2 linked regions of the Arabidopsis thaliana genome follow. The protein of the gene in region 2 interacts with the protein of the main gene of each other region in a pairwise test. Each region holds a gene or a part of one and is shown on either strand. Other genes may lie near its edges. The genes, in order: EMB1135 and AT-HSFB2B.

The links.
Region 1: the proteins of AT-HSFB2B (region 2) and EMB1135 interact in a two-hybrid assay, tested with the Arabidopsis thaliana proteins (one large-scale study listed by BioGRID).

What each region holds. Positions count from the first base shown.
Region 1 is NC_003070.9:29,842,899-29,855,618, forward strand, and holds EMB1135 (RING/FYVE/PHD zinc finger superfamily protein), read right to left. Parts: upstream 10,569-12,720; 5' UTR 10,318-10,568; coding exon 9,709-10,317; intron 9,632-9,708; coding exon 9,458-9,631; intron 9,373-9,457; coding exon 9,242-9,372; intron 9,049-9,241; coding exon 8,972-9,048; intron 8,383-8,971; coding exon 8,201-8,382; intron 8,011-8,200; coding exon 7,933-8,010; intron 7,722-7,932; coding exon 7,589-7,721; intron 7,319-7,588; coding exon 7,258-7,318; intron 7,182-7,257; coding exon 7,100-7,181; intron 6,782-7,099; coding exon 6,653-6,781; intron 6,571-6,652; coding exon 6,427-6,570; intron 6,316-6,426; coding exon 6,216-6,315; intron 6,127-6,215; coding exon 5,995-6,126; intron 5,625-5,994; coding exon 5,554-5,624; intron 5,474-5,553; coding exon 5,301-5,473; intron 5,210-5,300; coding exon 5,116-5,209; intron 4,899-5,115; coding exon 4,801-4,898; intron 4,724-4,800; coding exon 4,588-4,723; intron 4,422-4,587; coding exon 4,315-4,421; intron 4,222-4,314; and 25 more. Other genes in the region: MC4 (metacaspase 4), read left to right, coding at 1-296, 560-1,470; OCT2 (organic cation/carnitine transporter 2), read right to left, coding at 11,242-12,720. UniProt on the Arabidopsis thaliana protein: Required for normal embryo development. Necessary to acquire heat stress (HS) memory, by modulating nucleosome occupancy and regulating heat-induced gene expression.
Region 2 is NC_003075.7:7,035,301-7,047,896, reverse strand, and holds AT-HSFB2B (winged-helix DNA-binding transcription factor family protein), read right to left. Parts: upstream 5,544-12,596; 5' UTR 4,892-5,543; coding exon 4,538-4,891; intron 4,450-4,537; coding exon 3,670-4,449; 3' UTR 3,497-3,669; coding exon of another isoform or gene 3,342-3,496; 3' UTR 3,189-3,341; downstream 1-3,188. Other genes in the region: AT4G11670 (DNA topoisomerase 4 subunit B (DUF810)), read left to right, coding at 1-14, 322-393, 622-739, 1,080-1,252, 1,349-1,433, 1,540-1,674, 2,094-2,200, 2,279-2,356 and 4 more; AT4G11655 (Uncharacterized protein family (UPF0497)), read right to left, coding at 8,138-8,329, 8,451-8,586, 9,009-9,307; RALFL29 (RALF-like 29), read left to right, coding at 10,539-10,811. UniProt on the Arabidopsis thaliana protein: Transcriptional regulator that specifically binds DNA sequence 5'-AGAAnnTTCT-3' known as heat shock promoter elements (HSE).

The sequences.
Region 1 (12,720 bases), on a different chromosome or scaffold from region 2:
GGAGTTACGGGGATGCGTCAACGATGTTCGTCGTATGTACAAATGTCTCGTTGAACGGTACGGCTTCTCCGAGGAGAACATCACCGTTCTCATCGACACCGATGAATCCTCTACTCAGCCTACTGGCAAGAACATCCGCCGCGCGCTTGCTGATCTCGTCGAATCTGCCGATTCCGGCGACGTTCTTGTCGTTCATTACAGTGGACACGGTACGAGGTTGCCGGCTGAGACTGGTGAAGACGATGACACTGGTTTCGACGAGTGTATTGTTCCTTGCGACATGAATCTGATTACTGGTGAGTTTTATCTCTCTCTTTTTTTTGTGATTGATGGCTACGATCTGACGATCCTATAATAATCAGAAGAATCTTTTGATGGAAAAGTTTTGATTTTTTGTAGAATTGTTGATCTTATTTTCGAGATTGGTCTCTCATAGAGTCATAGCTGAGAAAAACTAGGATCAAACGAAATTAAGGAATCTTTAAGGGGAATATATTCTTGGTATCTGACTTTGGAATTTGTCCATGGAGCTTTGCTGATGTAATGTTGTTGTTTCCAGATGATGATTTTAGAGATCTTGTGGACAAGGTTCCTCCAGGTTGCAGAATGACAATCATTTCAGACTCTTGTCACAGTGGTGGCCTAATCGACGAAGCCAAGGAGCAGATTGGAGAGAGCACTAAGAAAGAAGCCGAGGACGAAGATGAATCTGAAGAATCTTCTTCAAGATTCGGGTTTAGGAAGTTCTTGCGCAGCAAAGTGGAAGGCGCCATCGAGTCTCGAGGGTTTCACATTGGAGGGAACAAGAAGGATGAAGATGAGGCGGAAGAAATCGAGACTAAGGAGATTGAGCTTGAAGACGGAGAAACGATCCATGCCAAAGACAAATCTCTTCCTCTGCAGACCTTGATTGATATTCTCAAGCAGCAAACAGGGAATGATAATATCGAAGTTGGGAAAATCAGGCCAAGCCTTTTTGATGCGTTTGGTGATGATTCGAGCCCGAAAGTGAAGAAGTTTATGAAAGTGATCTTAGGTAAGCTTCAGGCTGGAAATGGAGAAGAAGGTGGATTAATGGGAATGCTTGGCAAATTGGCTTCAGGGTTTCTTGAGGGTAAACTAAACGATGAAGACTATGTGAAACCCGCTATGCAGACACACGTTGGGAGTAAAGAAGAGGTTTATGCTGGTGGATCAAGAGGTTCGGTTCCGCTTCCAGACAGCGGGATACTGATCAGCGGTTGCCAAACCGATCAGACCTCTGCTGATGCGACTCCAGCGGGGAAACCAACTGAGGCTTATGGAGCGATGAGCAATTCGATACAGACGATATTGGAGGAGACAGACGGTGAGATATCAAACAGAGAAATGGTTACAAGGGCTAGGAAGGCATTGAAGAAGCAAGGGTTTACTCAGCAGCCAGGTTTGTATTGCCATGATGGTTATGCCAACGCTCCTTTCATCTGTTGAAAACAGAGGTTTTATTGAATGTTTTTTACTACGTACGACACGTTGATTGAAGTTTCTGGTCGGAAAAATAAGCCTGTTTTTTTTTTTTGCTGTTTGATGGCATTTATGTAATTTACAAGTTATGTGTGTTGTGTTCTGTGAAACACTAAAATTCTTCTTGTTTTATTGAGATCTATTATGTTGGTTGTGAAATTATTTTTTGTTTTTCTTTTCTTGTTAACTCTCTGTATTCTGCACATCAATAAGAAAAAGTTTTTTTTAACGGAACATAAGAATGAATCTTGTTAGATAAATAATATTACATCTATGTATCATCTTGCCAATTTGTCATGTGATATACACAAAAATGAAAGTCAAGTGTCTTTTTCCTCTTTTTCTTAAATAAAGAAAATACAAAATAGGCATGGGAACTTGATTGTGGAGCTTTGAGGGTGTATGCTTCTTATAAATACTCGTTGTCTTAATCATCAATCTCTTGAACCCATGCTAAATCTGCAGAAACAAAAAGACAGACACAAATCAACGACTGTCGAGATAACCATTCTGTTTCCTTGTCGGATTTATCATATGATGTCTCAAGATCATGAGATAAGCTCGCAATACCTTGTAAAACAGTTTCTACAGCTGCATTTGGGATGGAGAGGCCCACTATCCGCTGATTATCCGTCGTAGTCTCTATGCGTATAACTCGAATTCTCTTGTGGCTGTGACGGGCCTGCAAAAGATCCAAATACATATAAGTTTCCATGCCAACACACTAAGAGAGAGTCTCACAAATTCTTGAATGGTCTTTGTTACTTGTTTGGAGAGAGCTTTCTCGATGGTTCCCCAGATGGGAAGAATAAGGCCACCCACAACGTTTACTTCCTGTATCCTACGTCCAACCGTGCAATACTCCCCAAGCTTACACTTGGGTCCATGCATACACTGTACTCAGATGGAAACTCATTTAATGAACAGCGCTATATCAATGGTTATGACTTATGAATCTCTTGTGAGGCTTAAACTATATTACGCCACGATGATTCTGTGCTAATCTATTTTTCTGCTTTGGTTCTATGTATTCTCAACTTTATTTTTGATAGGGGAAGCATACCTGTTTTGATGAAACTTCGTACTCGTCCTCCCAACCAGTACGAGCCTTCTCCAGAGAAGATAGTTTTCGGTATTTAGTTTTCAACTCTGAAAGAGACATCTCCCTGGAAAAAATAAACAATAGTTAAGACCACTTTTTCTAGTCAGAAATACGAAATGTAAAGGTTCTGCCAATGGTGTAGTAGATACCTGATCGACTCTCCTACAGCAGGACGTACAATCTTAAACAACCCAGAAGCGGCACTGGAAATCCAAGACAAAGTCAGCAATGAGATTTTGATAGTGTTATTAGTATTCTAATATTTGTTTGTATAAAAGGACCACATTATCCAAAGAGTAGTGAGGATAATGATTTACCTCTCAAATGCTAATATGAAGTGCCGTCTTCCTAACCATTCCCTTTTAGATTCAAAAAAGCCATCATTAGCTGAACCAAGCCCGTCCCTTCTCTTTCCCTCTAGCATTGAACTCGCAGACTGGAACACAGATCAAATCAAGCTTTTGAGTGCAGTGAAATACGACTAAGTTTACCAAGAGTGAAAGATATTGAAGTACCTCCCATGTTACACCACGATCTAGAGTAAAAGTAAAGAGCATAGTTGAGGCACCAGACATTTGATCAACATGGACGGTCTGAAAAATTCAAATATTAGTAGCAAAAATACACCAAGAACCAATAATTAAGTAAGACATATCATCAACCTTTGGAGTGCTCAGTAGCTCAACACTATTAGCTTTCATATCCACAATTCCTGAGTCAAAACTTCCTTCTATCCGAGCATTATGTACAAGAACGTCTAATATACTAGTAAACAATTCAAACAGCCTGTACAGCACAAGAATAGAAAGCATTAATACAAACGGAAGTTGCTTTTAAAATGGAAGGTAAGTTACATAGAGCAAATTTCCAATTGACGCATAATACCTATTCTGGATATCAGGTGGCAATCCTAAGAGGCGATTCAAAAATCGTCCAACATCATGCATGTCAGAATCAATAATACGTCCTGAAAACCTTCCAACATCTTTCCCATTGGCTGTATCATTAATGAAGTAAAGTAAGAAAGGAGATTACTACAACTAGAATTTGAATTCTGTACGGAAAAAGAGAAATTACGAGCAAAGCATACCCAGAACACTGTCCCTAACAATTCCAACCGCAACAAGAGCAGCCCTTGCCTTGGTCAAAAACTCTTTAACTGTTTCGGGTTCATCAATCGAGCATCCAGGAGGAAGAACAGGTAGTTTCTCCTGACAATTAAGCCATACTATATTTCACACTTTATCCGTTATCATTGTTCCTAAATACTGAAGAAGCAAAATTAAGGAGTTAAGAGACTACAGGCTTTTATGAGGAATACCTGCTCCATTATGCCTCGATACATCACCATCAAGGATTTTTTACCAAAGTTACTATCATAATTATACGCACTCAAAGAAGGCCCGGAGGGCCCAGCCCTGCAGTACACCACACCAAATTTTGAGACAAAACACATGGCAAGGTTTTAAGCAATAACAAGCCAAAAGACTAACTAAGAAATAGTTAAGAAAGGGACTTTCCTGCGGTCTCCCTGTGTTAAAGCACCAAGTGTTTCTAGTCTCTTTGCAACAATAGAGGCAAAGCGGCGTTCCCCACCGAGATTAGTGAAGAGTAGTCTGACAGGACCAAAACAAAAGAACTATCAACTTCAACAGCATACTTTTGCTATTGGACGGATACAAAATTAAACACAAGCGTTGTCATTCAACCTATATTCAGGTGCAGATGTCTGATTTGACCGGTGAGTTCTTCCAAATTGCTGAATTGCACGATCAGCACTCCAGGGAAGCTCTAAAGTCAAGTGAACCCTTCTTTTCTGCAGACATATATAAAAAATTCCAAATCAACTAATACCCCCAAAGCGGACATGTGAAGTCCTCTGAGGTCATCTCTGACAATTAACTTAGATCTACAGAACAATAAGAATACGCAAAAAAAAAAGACAATTTTATTTAGTAGGAGAATTTATAAACTCGACACACCTGATTTACTGCCCTTCTATCTGCTTGCAACGAAACACCAGCTGACCCAGCTTCAGAAATAATGGCAACCAACTTTTTACCATCCATAAATAGTTGCTTCTCGTGCATGTTGACCATTTCCATGGTAATATCCTTTCTAGAGCCAAGAAGCACAAGGATGAAAAGCAGATTACTAGTGCTGAATAAGTTAAAGTACTGAGAATGAAAGCTTACGTGTTTCTTGCTTGATATGTAACACCTTTCCCATTCGATGCTCTTACAAGCATACCTCGCCTGCCCGTCATTTCTGCAACTTTTTCAGGGCCTCCAAGCTGCATTAGTACATATAAAGCACAGCAATTTAGAGACATTCTAAAGTTTTCAGAAGTTAATTTAACCACACAATTAGCCTTTGGATACTAGATGCCAAAACTTGAATAAATGATTCATAGATACCACTAGCGTTATACCCTAAAAAGAAAGGAGACTCATGTATAACCATGAGCTGCTTCATACCTGAGAAAAAACAGAGACGTAAATGATAGTTACCTGATCGACGATGTCATCCAAAGGATTGTTTGGAAGATTCAGAGAACGGATGATCTCTATGATCTTTGATTTTCGTTCAAGCGCTGCTTCATACCTAAAAAGAAACAAAATGGGTAACCACTCTTAAAAAGAATCTAATACTTTGCTTCTGTACCAGACACAAGTTGCTATTTCAGTGTATAGACCTTTTCTGCAATTCGGCAATGTAAAGACGTCTTGCTTGAATGTACTCCTCTGTCTTTTCCTTACAAGAAAAGCAAATCCACGCTTCAGATGGTAAGTCTATAACTGGAGGAACCACACAGTCCGGATGAAAAAGCTTGTCACATTCAGAACAATGGAGCAACTTCTTCCTTTCCTAGTTTCATCACCAGACAAGTTATTAAAATCTCGTAACCCTCAACGGTAATCAAGCTATCAGAGTTAAAAGTAAAGTACATCTTCCCCACTGCATATCTGACATATCTGGAACTCATCATCAGAATCATTAGAATCGTCAGCAGAGTCAGCTGCATTGAAAACACTAATGATTAGAAATGTACAGACCTTGAGGTTATAAAATTCGAATGATTGAAGAAACAGACCAAGATGGGGCAAATACAAAGACTAGAGATCTGAGGATAATACTTGTCCCAAAACATGATAATGTCATCCCTTAAGCAATTTCCAATATTGGAGATATATAGTAATACTAATACATAGGGGATAAATTAATAAGCTTATTAGCTGCTACGTAGATTTCCAGTTCAATAGATACGTTTTCCAGCGCTTAAAGAACTACATTCAAAACTTCCCATATTATTTTTCACTACAGCCTAAGCATCAATATTGTGTCTGTTCAGTATGTACCAGAATACATGTTTTCACTAGGAAACCCACCTTCAGACTCCAAATCACTTTCATTATCACTATCTGGTTTCCACTTTGCCATCTTTCTTACTCTCCCTCTAATTGAAACACCAGGTGAAGCTGAATGCCTCTTCCTCTGAAGTTCTTTAACACTATCATCCTCTGTAAAAGTTCAAAAGAGGCATACTATGAACATGAAATAAAAACCACCAGGGATTTAAAAGCAAAACCTCTTACAGAGAGTAAGTTACCTGACAGAGGTTCAGGCTGCTCGGGTAAGGGATAATTCTCTTCCACAAATTTCAACAAGAGCTCTCGAGGTCCCGAGACAAAATCATCAAGCTCAAGACCCTATGCCAAGAAAAAAGGGGGAAAAGATTATCAATACGTAGACATTAGTTAGATGGAATCAAAAAAGGATACTTAATATTTTTTCCAAAAGTAGTATGAAGAGAAACACACATATTTATTTACAGCCTCTTCGGTTCGAGCCTCTCCAGTACTCTGAAGGCCAATAACTACACACTTGTTTGTTGACAAGGCTTTCTTAGCTAACCTCACAGTTACAGGGACTTTAGCTGACATACACAGGTGTCTAAAGAAACGCTGCAGTAACAGACATGAAATAGATTGACCAATCAGCAACAGTAATAACATTGTCTAACTTTTGCCTGTGGTAAGATTATACCTGGTGGCTTGACCAGTATAATCTCCACAACTGACTAGAATTTGGTTTCTCGTTAGGGAGAAAAGCACTTGCTGACAACAACTCTATCCGTAGCTCTGCCCAAAATTCTGCAGACTTATTGTACATTGCCTACAGAAGAAAGCGAGTAATACAGCACAAAAGTCCTGATTTTAATTTTTCGACAGGGATCTCTAAACTATAAACAGGGGAACACTCGAAATAATGAGCTTGCTTGCCAAAAAATATCAAAGCACCATTGAAAATTATCTAATCCCAATAAAGCAGACAGAAATTAATGTAAGAACTTGGTTCAAGCTACCTCAGAGACCCCCTACTCTTCATATATACTACTTTGTTGAGCTTACACGACATTTATATAGAGCTAGATAGTCAATTAAGATATGAGAAGCAATCAAGCAACATAATATTAGATAGAAGATGATTTACCTCCATTCCTGCTTCTAAACGAGCTTCAACAATCTCAAACTCAGCCCCTTTGTAACTCAGGGTTCGGCATACATACATCCCCCTATTACATAGAAGGGGTGTTAGAATGAATTATGAGCAATGCAAATGGCTAAATAGTATGACACGGCTTGTAAAACCTCGCTTTCATATCCATGGCAACCAATTCCAACGCTCCTGTCCCACCTTTATCAAGGGCACCTGCACAAAGTTGTGTTAAAGTTCCATTCCAAGTTATGCAATGCATAAGGTAGAGTAAGAGAAGCGAAGTAATTATTAGAATTCAGTGAATGCGGTCAAACTTCATTTAATGAAATATTTTGTATATGCTCTAGACAGAAGCTAAAACCTGACACTTAAATGAATTCATGTTTATCGAACTATAAGATAGAACGTACTAATCCAAATGTTACACACACACACAAAAAAAAAAAAATCAATTAATCAACAGGAGTAGAAAAGAAAACCAACCTAGGAATTTGTTAAAATCACTAAAACTTGTTCCAGCTCCCCAAAGACCAAGCCTGACCATATAACCCATGTTTCGTGGTTCTGATGCCCCAGTAGCCGAGCAATAAATAACACGTGCTTGGGGGATCTTATCCTGCTTTTCCAGAATTCATTAGTTAGAGTCAACTAGATGGCACTAACCACAAATTAAGCATGTTAAACTAGAATATACACTATATTATCTGAAACCGAGAAAAAGTACAACCCAAAAAGACAAGTCGAAGTATATAATCTCTCACTCTTCAGAGCCAAGAGCAATATTAAAAGCAACACTGATAAGAACATTCAGTTTCAAGTAGCCAGACCTGAATGTCAACAACTGCCTGTCCGATGCGTGTCGGCTGACTCCCAGCTTCAGGTACCAAATTTTTCGCTTTATGGCACTATAAAAAAGGAAAACAAATTAGTACCTGCACAATGTACTAAAGATTAGAGGTTGGCCCAAAATTGATAAAACCAGTGATCAAGCAACTTACAACGACAGGGTATACTCAAATTGTTCAATTCACAAAAAAAGGGGGATGATGATTTTAACGCAAATAATTTAATATACTTCATTCATAGAACTGTTACCTCATCAAAGATCAAGAGACCATCAAATTCTGGTCCACACCATTGAACAAGCTGCTGTAAACGAGAACGGCCCTTCTCAGAGGAAGCAATGAGGCTATTGTATGTCAAGAATACCACTCCTTCTTTAATACCAACATTTTTCGAGTCAAGCTTAGAATAGGGTAGCTTGTTCAAAGGATTCACTGCACGTCAAACATATTGTTATTTAGTTGCAGAAAAAACAAACTGGACATTTGTTCACTTGAATGAACTTATCCATCGACATGGTTCCCTTGATTTGTCGTATTTTTCCATCTCCTAATATTCTATTAAAATTCCAAGCTCAAACCTATAAAGGATTAATGAGACTAAGAATCAAATATCCTATTGGACTATTCTAAAGTTACAGTCCAACTTTTATTTACCTGAAATTTTCATGAACTGCACAAACATCAGCTACCCATAACATTCTCTAGGCATGAAGACACCATAAACAAAGTTCAGGGACCCATTACCTTTATCAGTAAAGAAAATAAGTTCTCTAAAAATACATGTGTACTCTACATCGTAATATTAAAGCATGAGTCAATTTATCCATTCAGCAAAGTCAGAATCTCATTCTGATCCAGTCTACTCTATACCATCCACTTTCAAAATTTTCTATTCAACAATGAGCCAGAAAATAATTTATAGCATAAGCTATATGTAATTATGTATAACATATGAAGCATTTGTGACCCAAGAAAATAAGCGAATTACAAACTTAATTTACAGCCAAAATCAAGATAATACCTCCAACGCATGTAGCACCCACATCATCCAAGTCCCTTCTTGCATCATATTTCAAGTCTGAGCCAATAGAAATCCACCTATGTAAATCATAAAGGAAAAGGAGCAAATAGTATTAGAACTCATCCTACTTTAAGTTATCTAAGAAACCAAAAAAGGACACCGTAGACACAATTATGCAAATGTAGTATAATCATAAGTCAGATTGAATTGAGCTAACAATATCTTATCAAGGATGTAAATGGCGCAGAAGTATCTTTCTACAAGACTTACAAAGCTTTCCTCCTTCCATGTTTCCAATTTTCCCAAATCAACCCGGCAATTGTTCGCCCTTTGCCCACACCAGCACCATCTCCAACAAAAAAGCCTGCTCTGGTACCATCAGCAAGGTGCTGGAGATGCCTCTGTAATAAAAAAAAAACCATTGTCATACAGGTAGAAGATACGTTTAAATGCCATTAACCAAACTTTTTGCCATTTAAAAGCAACCTGGCAAGCGTAAACTAATGTCTCAATCTGCAAACACGATAAAGCCTTTGACCTTTCAAGCTCTTCCTTGATTTTGAGATCATAAGTAGGCTCTGGGGGTTGCACTGCAGATAGAGATGATGTTTCCACAATTGGATCAGGATGAGGAGGTCCGATCGAAAGTTTTGGGGGACGCTTCACAAAGAAACAAATTAGTATCATCAAAAACATTGAACAGACAGAAAAAGATGATCTCAAGATGAGGCACTCACATAATCCATAAACGTTTCTCCAGCCGTTCCACCTTCATCTTCTTCTCTCTCCACTTCAATAGCTTCCTCATTGACTTCTTCGGGAGGAGGCGGAGGCGGGACTGTGGGAGCAGCAGGAGTAGGAGGATTAGAATGAGATTGAGAAGCAGTTAAAGACCGATTAAGCTTGGAGACATCAACAGCGAGCTCGACATGGCACTGAGGACACGAGAACCGAGTGAGTCCATGAGGCACATTGAGGATAGCCTGACAGTTAGCGCAAGGCAATTGCATCTTCGTCGGATCGATTCCATGTGCCGGAACCGGAGGCCTAGGTAGATTAAGAGGCTTAAGCTGCTGTTGAATCGGTGGCGGAAGCGTCTGAATTGGCTGTGGTGGTTGTTGTGGAGACTGCGGAAACTGCGGCCGTGCCCTAGAAAGAAGCTCCGGCGGCAACATTTGGGGAAGTTGACAAGTCGGACACGAGAACTCCACAACGCCGGTTTTCACCCTCAGAATCACGCGACAGCCTGCGCACCTAACCTGTACATCGCCTCTTATTACACCTCCGGCGGCGGAATGCGGCTGAGCTGGGAGCGGCGGAGGCGGTTGAACAGGCGACTGCGTCATGAGCCGCGGCGATTGATCTTAAGAGAGATCCGTGAGAGGCCTTAGGATCTTGTGGCGTTGAAGGAGATAATTGAGAGAGGAAGACAAAAAAAGTATAAATCCAGTGTAAGTAATGAATTTCGTCAGAGCGCGAAAGGTTCTTCTTCGACTCCCTTCTCGTTTTTTTTGGTTTCAGATTTTCTTCCCTTTTTCTAATATTATTTTGGGATTGTTTGGTTCATCTAAAACTAATTATAATTACCCAAGAGGAGTCGAAGTAGGAAGATACAAAACCACTTCCGTACCGGTTGGGGTAATGGTAAGTGATGGGTTGATGGATCACGTGTCATCACGTGACTTGCCAGCTCACCGTTCGTTAGTTTGTGTGGGCTTAAAATAATAAATCCACATAAGTTTTGGGTTTGTGAACTTTGAGACCACTTAGTTGGGCCTAAAAGGGTTACAAAAGGGCTGATAGATGGGCCTATTTGTAAATTAAACCTTTTAAACATATCTACCAAGAAGTGTACAAATTTCTGTCTGGTTTGTTCTTCCCATTCAATTACCAAACAGCCAACTACCAACAACCCCAATGAATATACTTTCTTGGGATTGGAACGATTCATTTTCACACAACGTGTGAAAATTAGAACAGAAACACAATTATCTCTAACAAAAATCAAACAGCCAAACGTTTAACCATCGGCATCAATATCCAAACGAGACAAATTTGAATTATTTTGTTATTCAAGAAATCCATGTGTTATAGGTGTAAACTGTAAAATGAGATTGTTTCATCAGAGTGGTGCTTTGATGGCTCATTCTTAGAAACACTTTTCAACTAACCAAAAAAAAAGATATGTGGTAAGTCTTAATGTAATCAAGTGATAAATACTAAATTAAATCTACATTAATTTCACATGTGTTTTCAAATTCTTCACCATTTCATGCAATGACATTATTAACGGCGACTTTACTCCGCCGGTCTTTGCACTCTTCCTCGTCCATAGTGTCACATAGATCACTCCCTCTAGTCTCTGGCAATCCAACTGCAAACAATCCCAACAAACCTATAGCAAGACCAAACAATCCGAACGACCAGAACGCGTTTTTCCGACCAGCTGCTACCATAATAGGGCTGAAAACTCCACCAAGCACCAAAGCCTGTCTAGCCATTGCGATAGCCGAGTTTCTCACACATGTCGGAAACAGCTCGATCGTGTATATCATCTCCATGTTAAAAGCCGAACACGCGCTAAAGTAAGAGATTAGCTCTAACGCCAACTGTAACGCCCCGTGGTTTCCAATTCTCATATTATGTAACGCAAATATGAGAACGCTAGAGACTCCACCTAAAGCCGTAAATCCGATAAGCGCGTTTCTCCTACTGAGTTTATCGACTAGGAAAAGCGTGATGAGGTTCGCTGGTAAATCCATCAACGCATTAAACGCTGCACTTAAATAGATGTTGAAATCAAGATTCGATAACGCTAAAGGCATCCCGTAATAGACCAAACCAATCCCGAACGCAATGGCCATTACCGCGGATAATCTCTTAAGCGCCCATCTTTTCTCTACCAACACCTTCATGGTCGTGAAGATGTTAACATTAGTACTAGGCTTCTCTTCATCTTCTTCAAAAGGTAAGCTCGAAAAACTCATAGATATTGCACCACCACTGCTTACATCAGTAGACGGAATCGAAGCAACCCTTTTGAGAATCGAAATAGCTTCTTCTCTACGGCCTCTAACGAAAAGCCACCTTGGAGACTCACAAACGAAAAACCGAACAAGAACGCAGTATATTATCGTTGGAATCGAAGTCCATGCGTAGAGAATCCTCCAAGAACTTCCTCTGTTCATGTAAGCCATCAAAGGAAGAGACAAAAAGCCAAGCATGAATCCGAAGAAACTCATTATCCCTACTCGTCCTCGCCATTTCTTCCCAACTAATTCCGTCGAAAGAACGAGCGCACATGTCCCTATCGTCGCTCGACCAAATCCATTAACGAATCGAAGAACAGCGTAAACCCAAATGTTTGGTGAGAAAACCGTTAGCATCGTTGATATCGCCATAACGAGACAGGACAGAAACAACATGTTTTTACGACCCAAGGAAGAATCAGCAAGTGTTGAGAGAACCAAACCTCCGATTAAACATCCGACGAAGAAAGAACTCTCCGGTAAGCCCTTGACGAAAGAGCCGGCGCATTGGAGACCCCATTCGGATATAACAGAGACGTGAGGAGAGTAATCCCAAGACCATGCGGTTTTGGGGAGGATACAGATGTTGGAGATGGATTCATGGCAGATCGAGTTCGAGTCGGTGCAGTGCCACGTGGGTTCGGAGTCTGTAAACACAGAGATGAAAGTTTGTTGAGCGTCGAAAACACCGGAGAATGAGACTAAAGCCGCTTGAAGAAA
Region 2 (12,596 bases):
CTTTTGAAATCGAGGTTATATATTCTTGGCAAAACATTCACATGTTGATTTCTGTCGACAGTAGATAGACATTAAAGTTTGGCCATAAGGGAAACTATTTTGATGGATCACTGTATTGAGAAAATGTTTGAAGCAAACAAAAGTTGCATCATATATAGTTTGAAGTGATAATATAGACTGAATGAAATGAAGGATCCGTGAAGTCAGAAATATTTAACATATACAGACCTTCCATCACTTTCCATAATCAATCAAATCCAAAGTATGAATGTCCAAAAGATGGAATTTTTTTTTTTAATCGTAAAGCTTTTCCATGAACAGGAGTGGGAGCCTCTATCAGTTCAACAAAGACATGCTGCATCAATCGTTGAAATATTCAGGATCATAGAAGAGGTATGTAGACCTACATACTTTCATGACATGATTATTCTGAATAGTGTGCAAACTGTGGGAGTTCAGTATGCTAAAACAATTTTCTTTGCTTTGTGTTACCTCTTGATTTACTTGTTGTTTTTGTTTACGTTCTTGCTTTACTTCTAGTATGATTCGTCCTACCTTTACTTTTTAGTGCTGCACACAATATATTTGCCGTCTTACTATCTCATTTCACGTACTCTGCAGACTGTGTCTCAGCTGTTTGGTTTACATCTACCTGTTGATATCACACATCTCCAAGCTCTTCTCTCATTAATTTACCATAGCTTGGATACTTATCTTCAGAGAGTTTTCGATCAACTAGGTATTGACCAACCCTACATCTTTCTAACAGTTGTTACAGAGTCAAGTTCTTGCATAACCATGGAACATGCTATATAAAATTATTTTCTCTTATGTCAATATCTAGAGACACATGCTTGAGCAGGCTTATATGTGTCTGGTAGATTACATGCAACATGCATGATTTATTGTTGTGTTTCTTTGTATGGGACTTCCGTGAGATTAAGATTATAGTATTAGTGTATATAGAATCTCTTGTCCAAATCCAAAGGCGATACGAAAACATTTTGAATACATGTGTTAAATTAAGCAACTTTTCAGAAGCATACTGTGATATATTGACAATTAGCCTCTATCTGCAGTTGACAAGAAGTTTCTGTATCCGTCAGCTCCTCCTTTAACTCGATTCACAGAAAATGTAATGCCAGTAATGAAGAGGAAGTCACTCGAGTTTAGTGAGCCAGATAATAAAATAGTTAAGAAACTGGATGAACTGACGATACCAAAACTCTGCATAATATTGAATACACTCTGTGTAAGTGTGTTCTTCCAAGCTAAACCTTCATAAATTCCTATTAAAACTAAACAATAGCTTCTTTATTTTTAATGTATTTTTGTGTTCATGGATCAGTATATCCAGAAACAAATCAGTGCAACAGAAGTAGGCATAAGGAAATCTTTGACACTTGTTGAAGCCTCTCTCAACAAGAGATCAGGTACGCTCATTCACTTTGGATTATACGTTTTTCTCTTAATTTTGATGGTTGTCTAGTGTTGAAATGTGCATTGGCGGATTCATTTTGCATGATTTTTTTGCTTCAGAAATCGAGACTGATGAAGCTGAAGTGGAGAATTCACTGACGCATAGTGAAGCTGTTGATGAACTCTTTGCTACCACCTATGACAGCCTCAGGGACACCAATGCCAATTGCATAACCAAAACCCGTGACCTAATTGGTAAGCTAATACAAATTCTCGTGTTATGCAGCACTTTAAATTTGAGAAAAGCTGAAAACTCTGTCCAAACTTGAACCAGTTCCCTGCAACCTTGATAAGTGTCAAGATTCAAACTTTCTGAATGCACAATCTTCTTATCCACAAACTAGATGGCTTTAGCATTTTAATACTATTTGAAGACTTACATAAGATGCATTATCAAATTTTCTGTCGTTATCTGAGATACTCGTGAATAAGCCATACATATTAATCATGTTTCAGTTCTTTGGCAAAAGTACGCATTCCTCTTTTATTGGTTGATCCTCATGGATGAGTGAGAATGTTGGATGGATTGTGTTACTCTTTAAGACTTTTGTGTTATCAACGACAAAGAAGTCGGTTTAGCTCTGGTTTCTGTATTTATTGTTGCTTTTTGTCAGGGGCAAGAGCGATTTTCTGGGATCTGAGAGACATGTTCCTTATACAGTTGTACAATGGCACAGTCGAAGGCGCCCGCTTGGAAAGAATACTCCCTCACATTGATTCAGTAAACCAAAATCATCTCTTTCTTTTATTCACCCCGTTCTACTAAGCATGAACTTACACTAGGAAATGCAATGCACAGGTCCTTGATACTGTATGCAGTTTGAGTTATGAGGACTCACGGGATATGGTGGTGTTAAGCATCTGCCGATCCGCTCTGGTAACACTTCTTTTCTCTTTTGCATATGGAAACAAGTTAACTAACTCTAACCTCTTTTATGCCCACAAAAATGGCATGCTTCTCTCCCATAGGAAGCCTATGTTCGAGTACTACTTGATGGAGGGCCAACCCGTGCCTTTTCGGATTCTGACATCACCTTGATGGAAGAAGATCTCAGTATTTTGAAAGTAAGCAACTTATATTCTTATTTTGAAATTCCGTACTTATTCTACTGGAAACCAAAGTTTTCGAGCTCTATCATCTTGTATACTCCCTGCATCCAATTAGTTTCAGATAAAGACAATATTAAAAAATACTAGAAACTAGATTTTCTACTTTGATTTTGAGGTTCGGCCATTTTGCATATGAGAACCGGGTCTTGATCCGTGGATTAGGCAGTTCCAATCTGTGTACTTAACCTACGGCGTGTGTCCCCTTGTAGGAGTTCTTCATTGCCGATGGGGAGGGACTTCCTCGTTCACTAGTTGAGCAAGAAGCGAAACAGGCGAAAGAGATCCTCGACTTGTACTCTCTCGAGGTAAATATATTTTGCTCACTTGCAAATTGCAAACTTAGTTCCTTTCTTAGAAATTATGAGATACCAAAGTGTTACGGATTATGTCCGTTGTGGCAGAGCGATATGCTAATTCAGATGCTAATGACTGCGAGCGAGCTCATCAACATGGGGGTGAGTTCAGAGCAGCGGCGCTTGGAGGATGCACAAACTCTTGTTAGAGTTCTTTGCCACAAGAAAGATCGTAACGCCTCCAAATTCTTAAAGCGCCAGTACGAGCTTCCTATGTCAACAGGTAAAAACACACACACGACCACTAGAGAACTTGGACCATCTTTAAATAAGAGAGATAAATTTCATTAAGATCATTACAAGTCAGAGAGCTACAATTGTTTTGAACTCAAAAGAAATGATTCTGTATCAACATTGCCATAACTCTTAAAAACCATTGATTCCTGCTATTTGTTGCAGAATATGAAGATGTAACATTGAATCTGCCTGCTTTATCCGAAATCGTGAGAAGCACATCCACTCACTGGAGCACAGCAAGCCAGAATAGTTTCAGTTCCATCAAGAAGAAGATTCAGGAGGCAACATCTGAAATCAGGAACAACTCAGGATGGTAGAATCAGTGTTTTTAGATACTTTTGTACTACCCCAACTCAATGAACATCTGTCCTCTTATGACCGAACACATCCCCATTTTCCGTCCGGGACAGCGCAATGGCTTGCCTATGCAATGGGGATCAGTAACAGTTTCTTGCATATTCAACAATGCCTCTGAATCGGCAAGTGTTTTTCATTTTCCGAGTTCAAGCCACGACCCATTATGGTTACCGGAGTTATTCTCCTCCATTGGCTCTGCCTTAACATCAGAACTTTGTTCTCCCTCTTGGGCAGCAGCTTCTCGTCTATCATCATCTTCTTCCTCTGCAGCACCCAATTCTTCTTCTCTTCTAGCTCGCTTGACCCCAATAGAAACCCCAAACAACCTTGGAGTCAAATCCTCACCAAGTTTCAGACCAATCCCTGTCTCTATTTCAGAAGCCATAATGGCTTCACTCATCTCTTGTCTCTCCGGTAAAAGATCTAAAGGTTTCCCTTCAGGTAACAAATGCGCACAATCTTCTTGACCCGGTGTGAAATTCGCCATTAATGTGTAGATATTCGCATACAATCCTTTAAGCTTTGTCATCTCTTTCCTCAATCGCTCATTATCTTTCCTCAATCGCTCATTCTCCTCAACCAGCTCTGGTGCAGTGGTGCAGCTCGTTGTCCTCTGCAAAGAACCACCACCAACCACTCCTCCTATAGCAGCAGCAGCAGCCGCAGGCGAAGAATTAGACGATATAACCTGTTCTTCTCCAGAGTTCGATGGAGAAACAATATGAGCTACAACAGGAACAGCTGCTACTGTAACAGCCGAAGCCGCTACGGCTGCCGCCGCCGCTGCAGCAGCCGCGGCCATAGCAGGCTGAGAGATTTTCCGCCGTTGAATATCCCGAAGCAGAATCTTCTCACCTCTCTTAAAACAATCATTAGAAAACTCCCAACGATCTGGAACTACTTTTCGAAATCCCTAAAACCAATAATAAACCAAAATAAGAGCTCACTACTAAAAAACCTAATAACTGAAAATTTCGATTCAAACGTATATTGAGACTCACGTAAGTATTGAGCTGACGAACAAAACTCGAGAAGTTATTATGTTTGAAGTATTTGGGAAGAAGATCTCTAGCGAATTCAGCTGGTCGCCACACAATAAAAGTGGTTCCATCTTCGTTCCACGAGATCAATTCGTCGTAAACCGGATCTTCCACAAGCTGATACGTTTTCGTCAAAAACGGCGTCGGAATTGACCTCTGTGAATCTCCTCCTCCGCCACCACCTCCACCACTACCACCACCGCCACCACCAGCACCACATCCACTACTTCCACCACTATTCCCGGCGCTACAACCAGCTCCACCGCCGCCAACTCCGGCCACCGTCGGAGTTTCTCCGGTTTGTTCCCCCGGCATGAGTTATAGATCAAAAATCTAAACTTTCCTTAATCCCAATACCCAAATTAAGATAATGATGAAATCTACCAATGGGAATGAGCTTTGAAGAAAGTTGGAAACATAGAGATCTCAAAACAGAAACTAGACAGAGAAGAGAAAGGAAACGTCTATCACAGACCCATTAGAACCAAATCCAAAAACTTCTCTATCTCTCTCTTGACGTAATCTACACCAACCAAGAAAGAAAGAGATTGTCACAATCCAGATTGAACACAGAGACACACGATGATCACGAAGCTAGAGATAGAGAGAGAGAGAGATTATGTTGTGAAGTTCCAGAATGTTCTGAGAGGAACGTATTGATAAGAAAGAGAGAGAAGAGGAGAGACAGATCGGAAGTTCCAGAAGACAACAACAAAAACAAAAATAAAAAAAAGAGAACGAAGAAGAAGAACAAGGGTAAAGTTGGAATTTAAAAAAGTGAAAAGGGGACCACAAAGAAGGAAAGAGTATAGGAATGCGCTAGAAGAGCGTATGTGGCTTCCTTTTCTTTTTCCAGAAGTTTCTCTTTTTTCTTCTTTTTGTTATTTCCTTTTTTGACCCTGTGAATATGTGAAACGCTATCTAGATTTTCATAACATTTTTGGTAATTAATGTGAGTGGAATAAAGTGATAGACTCGAATTGATTATTCTGAGTTGACTCTTTTTTTAATTACTTTTCTTATGTTTTATGTTCAACATTAATTATGAATTCAATATTTGAGATTCGTTTATCCAATATTATAGTCTAATTGTAATCATCGTAAAAAGGAAACAAATATCTTAGCAAAATTGTAGTAATAGTGTCATTATCCAGATTTTAAATATAAAGTTTTTATGATAAAAAAACTTTTTAAAAAAAAGAGATAAGTTGGAAAATGTATTCTTTTTATATAAATAAATTGCAAAATATGTAGTTTTTTTAGAAAAAGAAGAAATAGATAATTTTTTTTTTCCTTTCTAATACAATTTTTTGTCTAATAAAAATTTTAGTAAAAATACTTATATAACCTTTTGTTATTTGTTAGGTAGTAAAATATAGACAAAACTCAAATCAAATTCTACTTTTTCTCTTTTTTTTTTTATTTAAATATTTTTACTTTGTTTGATAATAATTTTTCATAAAAAATTACCACATAATCATATTAACTTTTAAAATTTTTATGTGAATCTAAAAAGTCTAATTTTGCTATATTTCAAAAATATGTAACACTTTTTTATTTAATCCCAGCCGACGGTGTATGTGATATTGTTAAAACTGGTGTACAAATGTTAGTGTACGACAATAATGTAAAAATTAACATATAATACTGAGAAGTGATAGACTCAGTATAATTGTGTACAAAATAGTGTAAAGAGATGATGGAAAATATGGTGTACATGATCGTACAGCTTTAAAGATCTATGAGACAGTGTACTAACATTGGTGTACGAGATATACACCACTAATTGAAATAATGATTTATACATTTCCTAGAAGTGTACACCAAGTTTTGTACACTTTGTCTAATAATCTTGTATGCTATCATTTAAAAGTTGTATACATCATTCTATCCATCAATCGTCATAATAGTTTCAATCATTTTGTACATCATCAAAAATACTTTAATTATGTACACCATCATGTACACTATTATATTGAGTAATCATATAAGGTTTATACAATCATTATGTTTATAAGAGAAGTCGGTGTACTTAATGATTTATGAAATATCAGTATACACATTTGTACACCAACGAATAATGGTTAGTGTACAAAACTATGTTTGAAATGTTTGTGCATTGGATTGATGACATATAATTACTCTAAAAGTTAATGTAATGTTTTTTAAAAAGAATTTATTATTTAAAAAAATATTTTAAGAAAACTAAAATAAAAAAATAAAAAAAATAAAGACAAACAAAATAAAGTACAAATGGTCTCTCATATTATTTTTATTAGCTCTCAAGATAAAGGGTATTTTAGTATTTGATATGTATTTTGTTTTTTTAATCTATTAGACATATCCTCTATCTCACAAAAAACAAAAAAGTGTCTATCTCTCTAATTTCTAAAAAAAACTATCCACTTTACAAATTATTTATGAAAAAGTGTCTACTTTGCCAAGAAACCCAAAAAAAAATCCAGAAAACGTAAAACAATCGATTTATGATGTATTTTCATAGTCGAAAGTCATGAATTTGAATTGTATACTTAACATGTATAACTTTCGGTAATCTTTAAAAAAAAAAAATCTAAATGTCTTAAACTATTTGCAAGAAATGACAAAAAAAATATATTATTTTTATGTGAGCATTTAAATTATCAAAAATAATTTATATAAATCCATTTATATAATCGTTTTCTGGAAAATTAAATCCAGTTATAGTAGTTAGGATATACATCATTTCCAGGTGGGAGGGGAAGAAATCCAGTTTTACTATTGCGATTACAGAATTTCCGGGCGGTATAATGTTTTATCGTCAAACATATCATTATACATTGCAGAAAGAAACACCCAAATTTCTCTTGTCACTACAAGATTGTATTACAACAACTTTCTCTTCTCTAAGTTCAGTTTTAGAATCTGCTTTATAAATACAATGAAAGTGAATACCAAAAATAAAAAAAAGTGAATACGAACATAATTAAAATATGCATGTTTTCATTATTTTTTTTATTTTGATAAACTTTATTGGTTGGTCTGGTCACCTCCGATAAAAACGCATCAAAATGCTTAAGAATTTTAACTAGGTTTTAAAATTCTTCATTCTTATGACCAAATATGATAAATATGATAATAAGACCTTAATTCATTCATTGACCCATCACTATTTTAATGACACTTCATCTACTTTGTAAGTGAAACACTTGCAACTTCCTTTTAATATAGAAAATAGTTTTTGTCACATCTGAAGAACCCTTTTACCAGTTAATGATAGTACTTTTGGAAACTATACGAGGAAAACTAGTTTACACTTGATTAAGTTTGTTTGGTACAATGGTCATGCATGTACAAATTATCATTTGATTACTGCAACATTGACACATGGTGGTGGTTATCTTATATTTCTCTAAAAAAAATTCGGTTATTCTTTCAAATTCTAAAACGTTGGCGATAAAACAAATAAATGTTGTATAAATTTTACATTCCAACAAACAAATATATCCACATAAACATAAATAGTCATTACTTCTTACGGATTTAAACATGACTTGAGTATAAAAAAATTACAAGATTTAATTACCACATAAATCTCTTGCAAAGCTTATACCCTGACAAGAGGCCAGAGAGTGTCAAAACCAAAAATGCAGAGAATGACATTGAAACTGAAACTATAGAATTGTTTCTTAGTGTTTTTATCGCATCCTCGTTTATATGTTGGATCCATGCAATTGCCACGGAAGAAGATGACACTAGTAGGTAACATATAACCTGATTAGGTTTTGTATACAAAAATAAAATTAGCTCAATTTTTTTTATATGTTAATTGTTAACACATTCTATTATATATGTACTCAACGTATAGAAATTAATCAATAATAATGTAAAATACCTGGTCAAATATGAAGCTGATGTAATCCGAGAGAGGCTCAGAGATTAAAACTCCTCTGTGAGTAATATCACAAACTCCTTTGAATGTTTGCAAACTTGTATACACGAATCCTATCACTGCAACTCCAAAACAATACCTGCATATATCTTAACGTACCAATTAGCATAGAGAGAAAAAAATGTTGAAAATTTTTGGATGATTTTGTTAATGGATATTTATTTTTAACACGCCTACACAATATTTTCGGTTCATATATAAACTATCAAAATATTCATTTCCATGCATATTAAAGATAATTAATACTTTAATTTAATTTATCAAAAATCCCAATTTAATTCATTTCCATTACAATTTTCGGTTCATATATCTTTAATTTAACAGAAATCAGCCAATCTTTTCATTTTATTTTTTAGACTTTTTTTTTTCAAGTATCCCTTATTATTTTAGTAAGTGAACAACGATAATCCAGATTTGCTTGGAAATAACAACATCATATTCTATATAAAATATTAGTATTAAACAATGAATTAAAGAAGATAAGGTTCTTTAGTTTCTTACAACAGTTCAGGATATGAAGCAAAACTCGAGGAGTTTTGTGTCAGATGTCTCTTCGAAGGCCGTTGAACATTCACTGCCAACGAAAGAGCAGAGACGAAACATAGAACCATAGTTATAAACCGGAGAACCAAACCGATAACATGAACCGATGCTCGCCGTGAGCTGAATCTTGATGCTGACGGCGTTACGGAGTATGCAAACAAAGACGGCGTCTGTTGAGAGACAGGTGACGCCGTTACTGAAGCCTCCGATGATGGTCCATAAGTGATCACTACAACGTGATCTTTAAGCTCTTTCATCAAATATATTCGAGTGTTCCAAAAATAATTGAAGAGATTGATTCATATATGTGAAGTCTTGTTTTCTGAAAGATATATTAAAGATTTGACTAGTGGGTTGCTTTTGAATTAAGGATGACATGAAGTTTCACCGAAAGTTTGTTAGAACTCTATACAGTTTTTCTTCCACGTTATAATCTTATAATATGGTTGTATGACTAATAATTCCTAATATTTTTCTTTCTAGTTGACTAAATTTCTCTTGCAAAATGAAGTCCACATGGGATAATTGAAACTATACCCAGCAGTTCATATTTTTGTATATCTTGATCAATATAATACATAGTGAATTAGTGATCATGAGAAACAGTATCGAGACAATGTTGTTTTGGCTGATGATTAATAGTCGAAAGAACAATATATTTTTGGAGTGAGGCAGCCAAATTGAATTCAATATCAATACTGCCAACAAACTATTCAGACATAGAGACATATCTTAAAGTAATATATATATTGCTAAAACCCCCAAGCAAAAACCACTTTTTATTTTGCCTTAGTTTTGTTCTTCTTTATCGAATTCGTCGTGTAACTTATTAGTATATATAACTTATTAGGATCGATCCTAAAATACTACATAAGATTAATTGTGGATTTGCATTTTTTCTCGCGTAGTCTCTAAGATAAAATTTTGAGGTGAAAATACACACAAATTAAATCACTATCATTAAATATTACGATAAGTGTACCTAAATTTGTAAATTTTCTATATCCAGACATGGATTTCCGTCAAAATATCATGATATCGGAGATATTCAATCCGATCTATCAATTTTTATATGTTAAAGTTTAGAAATAATTATAAAATAGCACTTTATAATATTAAAAATAATTTTGCAATTTTTAAACATATCAAAATTTTGAGATGTAATACTAGCATTAGGAGACCGATATTGTTTTTTGACAAAACAAAAACTGATTGAAATTAAACCAACAAAAAATGATATGTTAAAATCTCAATATTTTCAAATGTTTCAAAATTAATTAATGTATATATTGAAGAAAAAAAACTGAAACTAAAACTGTAACACCAATTCAGTTTTTTTTTAAATATATTTAATAAAAATATCTAAACTGGAACCAAACAAAGATATGTTTTAAAGATAGTGAAACTATAACTTATCGTTTTGCACTATATATAAAAAACAGATTTTCCAATCTTTCCACCAAATATAACTAATCCAAAATCTAAATTATGATAAAAACAAAAGAAGTTACGTTTGTGACGATTTTGATTGTATTATGCGTGTTTATAAGTACCATTCATGCGAAAAGATATATTGAGTATCCAATTAGATTAGATTTAGGTAAAGGTTGTGATCCAAGATTTCCTACCGCTGCATGTTATAAGCGCACACCAGCAAATCCATATAGGCGTCCATGTACTACTGCCAATAGATGTCGTCGTTCTACTTCTTCTACACGAGTACCATCTTTGAAAACTTTTGTGGAAATACCACCAATGTAAACCTGATATTAATTGTTAAGAAAGTTATCAAGTATTATAACTTGTTCCCATTAATCTTTTTAACAACTATTTATCAAAAGAAATTTCATTTACATGGCAAATAATCAAATGTTCACATTAATATTGTATGACATAAATCCATATACACCATTATGTTCATCGAGTATGAATATCATACTTCAAGAAGTTTTGTGAAAAAGTTCTTCAAATATCGTTAAAAACACGATTATGGTTATTCAAAACAGTGATGGATAAAAGTATTTTGTTTTGTACACATTATTCTTTCTGTTTTAGGGGGAATTATGATTAAGACTTCATTGTCAAAGGTGAAAAGAATAAATTTAATTTTTTGAATAAGTAACTTTCGTTTCTAACATATATTGATTACTTTAAAACATAAGATACAAACGTTATACAAATCCATCAAATCATACATTATCAGTAATAACAAAGAACGATATAACAGTGGAAGTTATGCTTTTGTGTGGAACGTTTTACTCGCTAACGAATTTTAAGAAATATGTTACTTTATTTCCTTTTACTCAAACTAAAGATGATACGATATTTTTCCTTCGTTGTCATCAATTCTGTGAAACTCTAAGAATATTGTCGCATAAAAAACGACATTGCTTCACCAATAACTTAACTTTGTTAACATGACAACAAATTAAAGCCTTGAATGGCTGCAGTTTTTAGAGTAGTTTTTGGATTGTGATTTTTTAAAAACCAAATAAATACCCATTCATGATTCTACAAAAAGTAGATTTTCTAAAAAATAGGAAAACCAGATTTTAAGAGTTTTTAGCTATTTCTTTATAAAATCTAAAAACCAAGTTTTGTGAGTTTTTTAAACAATTTACGTAAAAACTAAAAATTAAACAAAATTCCATTCATGATTTTGCAAAAATTAAAATCTACAACAAAATCAAAAACTACAAATATCAAAAACCAAAATCCAAAATCCAAAAACCAAAAACTAAAAGCCAATAAAAAACTACAAAACATTCAGGACCTAAAACATATCGAATTCACTGTAACTCTATTAGTACTCAACAAGATAAACCATTGGATCTCTTTGTAATTATAGCTTGTTGATCGTTTGTTGGGGATAATTGTTAAAAGAATCTTATTTTACAATATATTCAAAGCTAAATTAGTTCAAACCTCAAGGTATGGCCGTAAGGTAGATATTATCAATCATGCTCTATTCCAATGTCTTTTTGCCAGGTTGGTTTGGACACTCTCCTCGGCTTCAACAATATTTTACCCCATCCATGTCCTCTTTAGTTCCTCTTCTCCCTTATATGACCCATTGGCGTGAGAAGTTTCTTTTACCCCATTTGTAAAACCCATGATCTTGTCATATTGTGTGCAACCACTTCTTTCTCAATCAACTCCATCGGTTCTTGTCCCTTTGTCTGAACCATTGGTGTCAGAAGTTTTTTCACCCTTTTTCAATTCCATGATCTACTCAAATTCTTGAACCGCTTCTTTCGCAATCAACTCCACCGTCAAAATATTTAGGCAATGGGTTTTACACATGTGTTGTTTGGAAATCTTGGATGAAGCCTATGTGATATCTTAATGGGTTTCATCCATGATTTCCTAACAATTAACTCCAGGAGAATCGAGCAAATATCACATATCAGTGGCAGTGGTGTATTGACAAGGGGGTCACTTGACCCCCATAACATTTATCAATTTTTAGTTTTAAAGTGAATGTCATAACAATTATTTGATGTTTTTGTTTAAAATTTTCATAATGACCACCATAAATAGTGATCT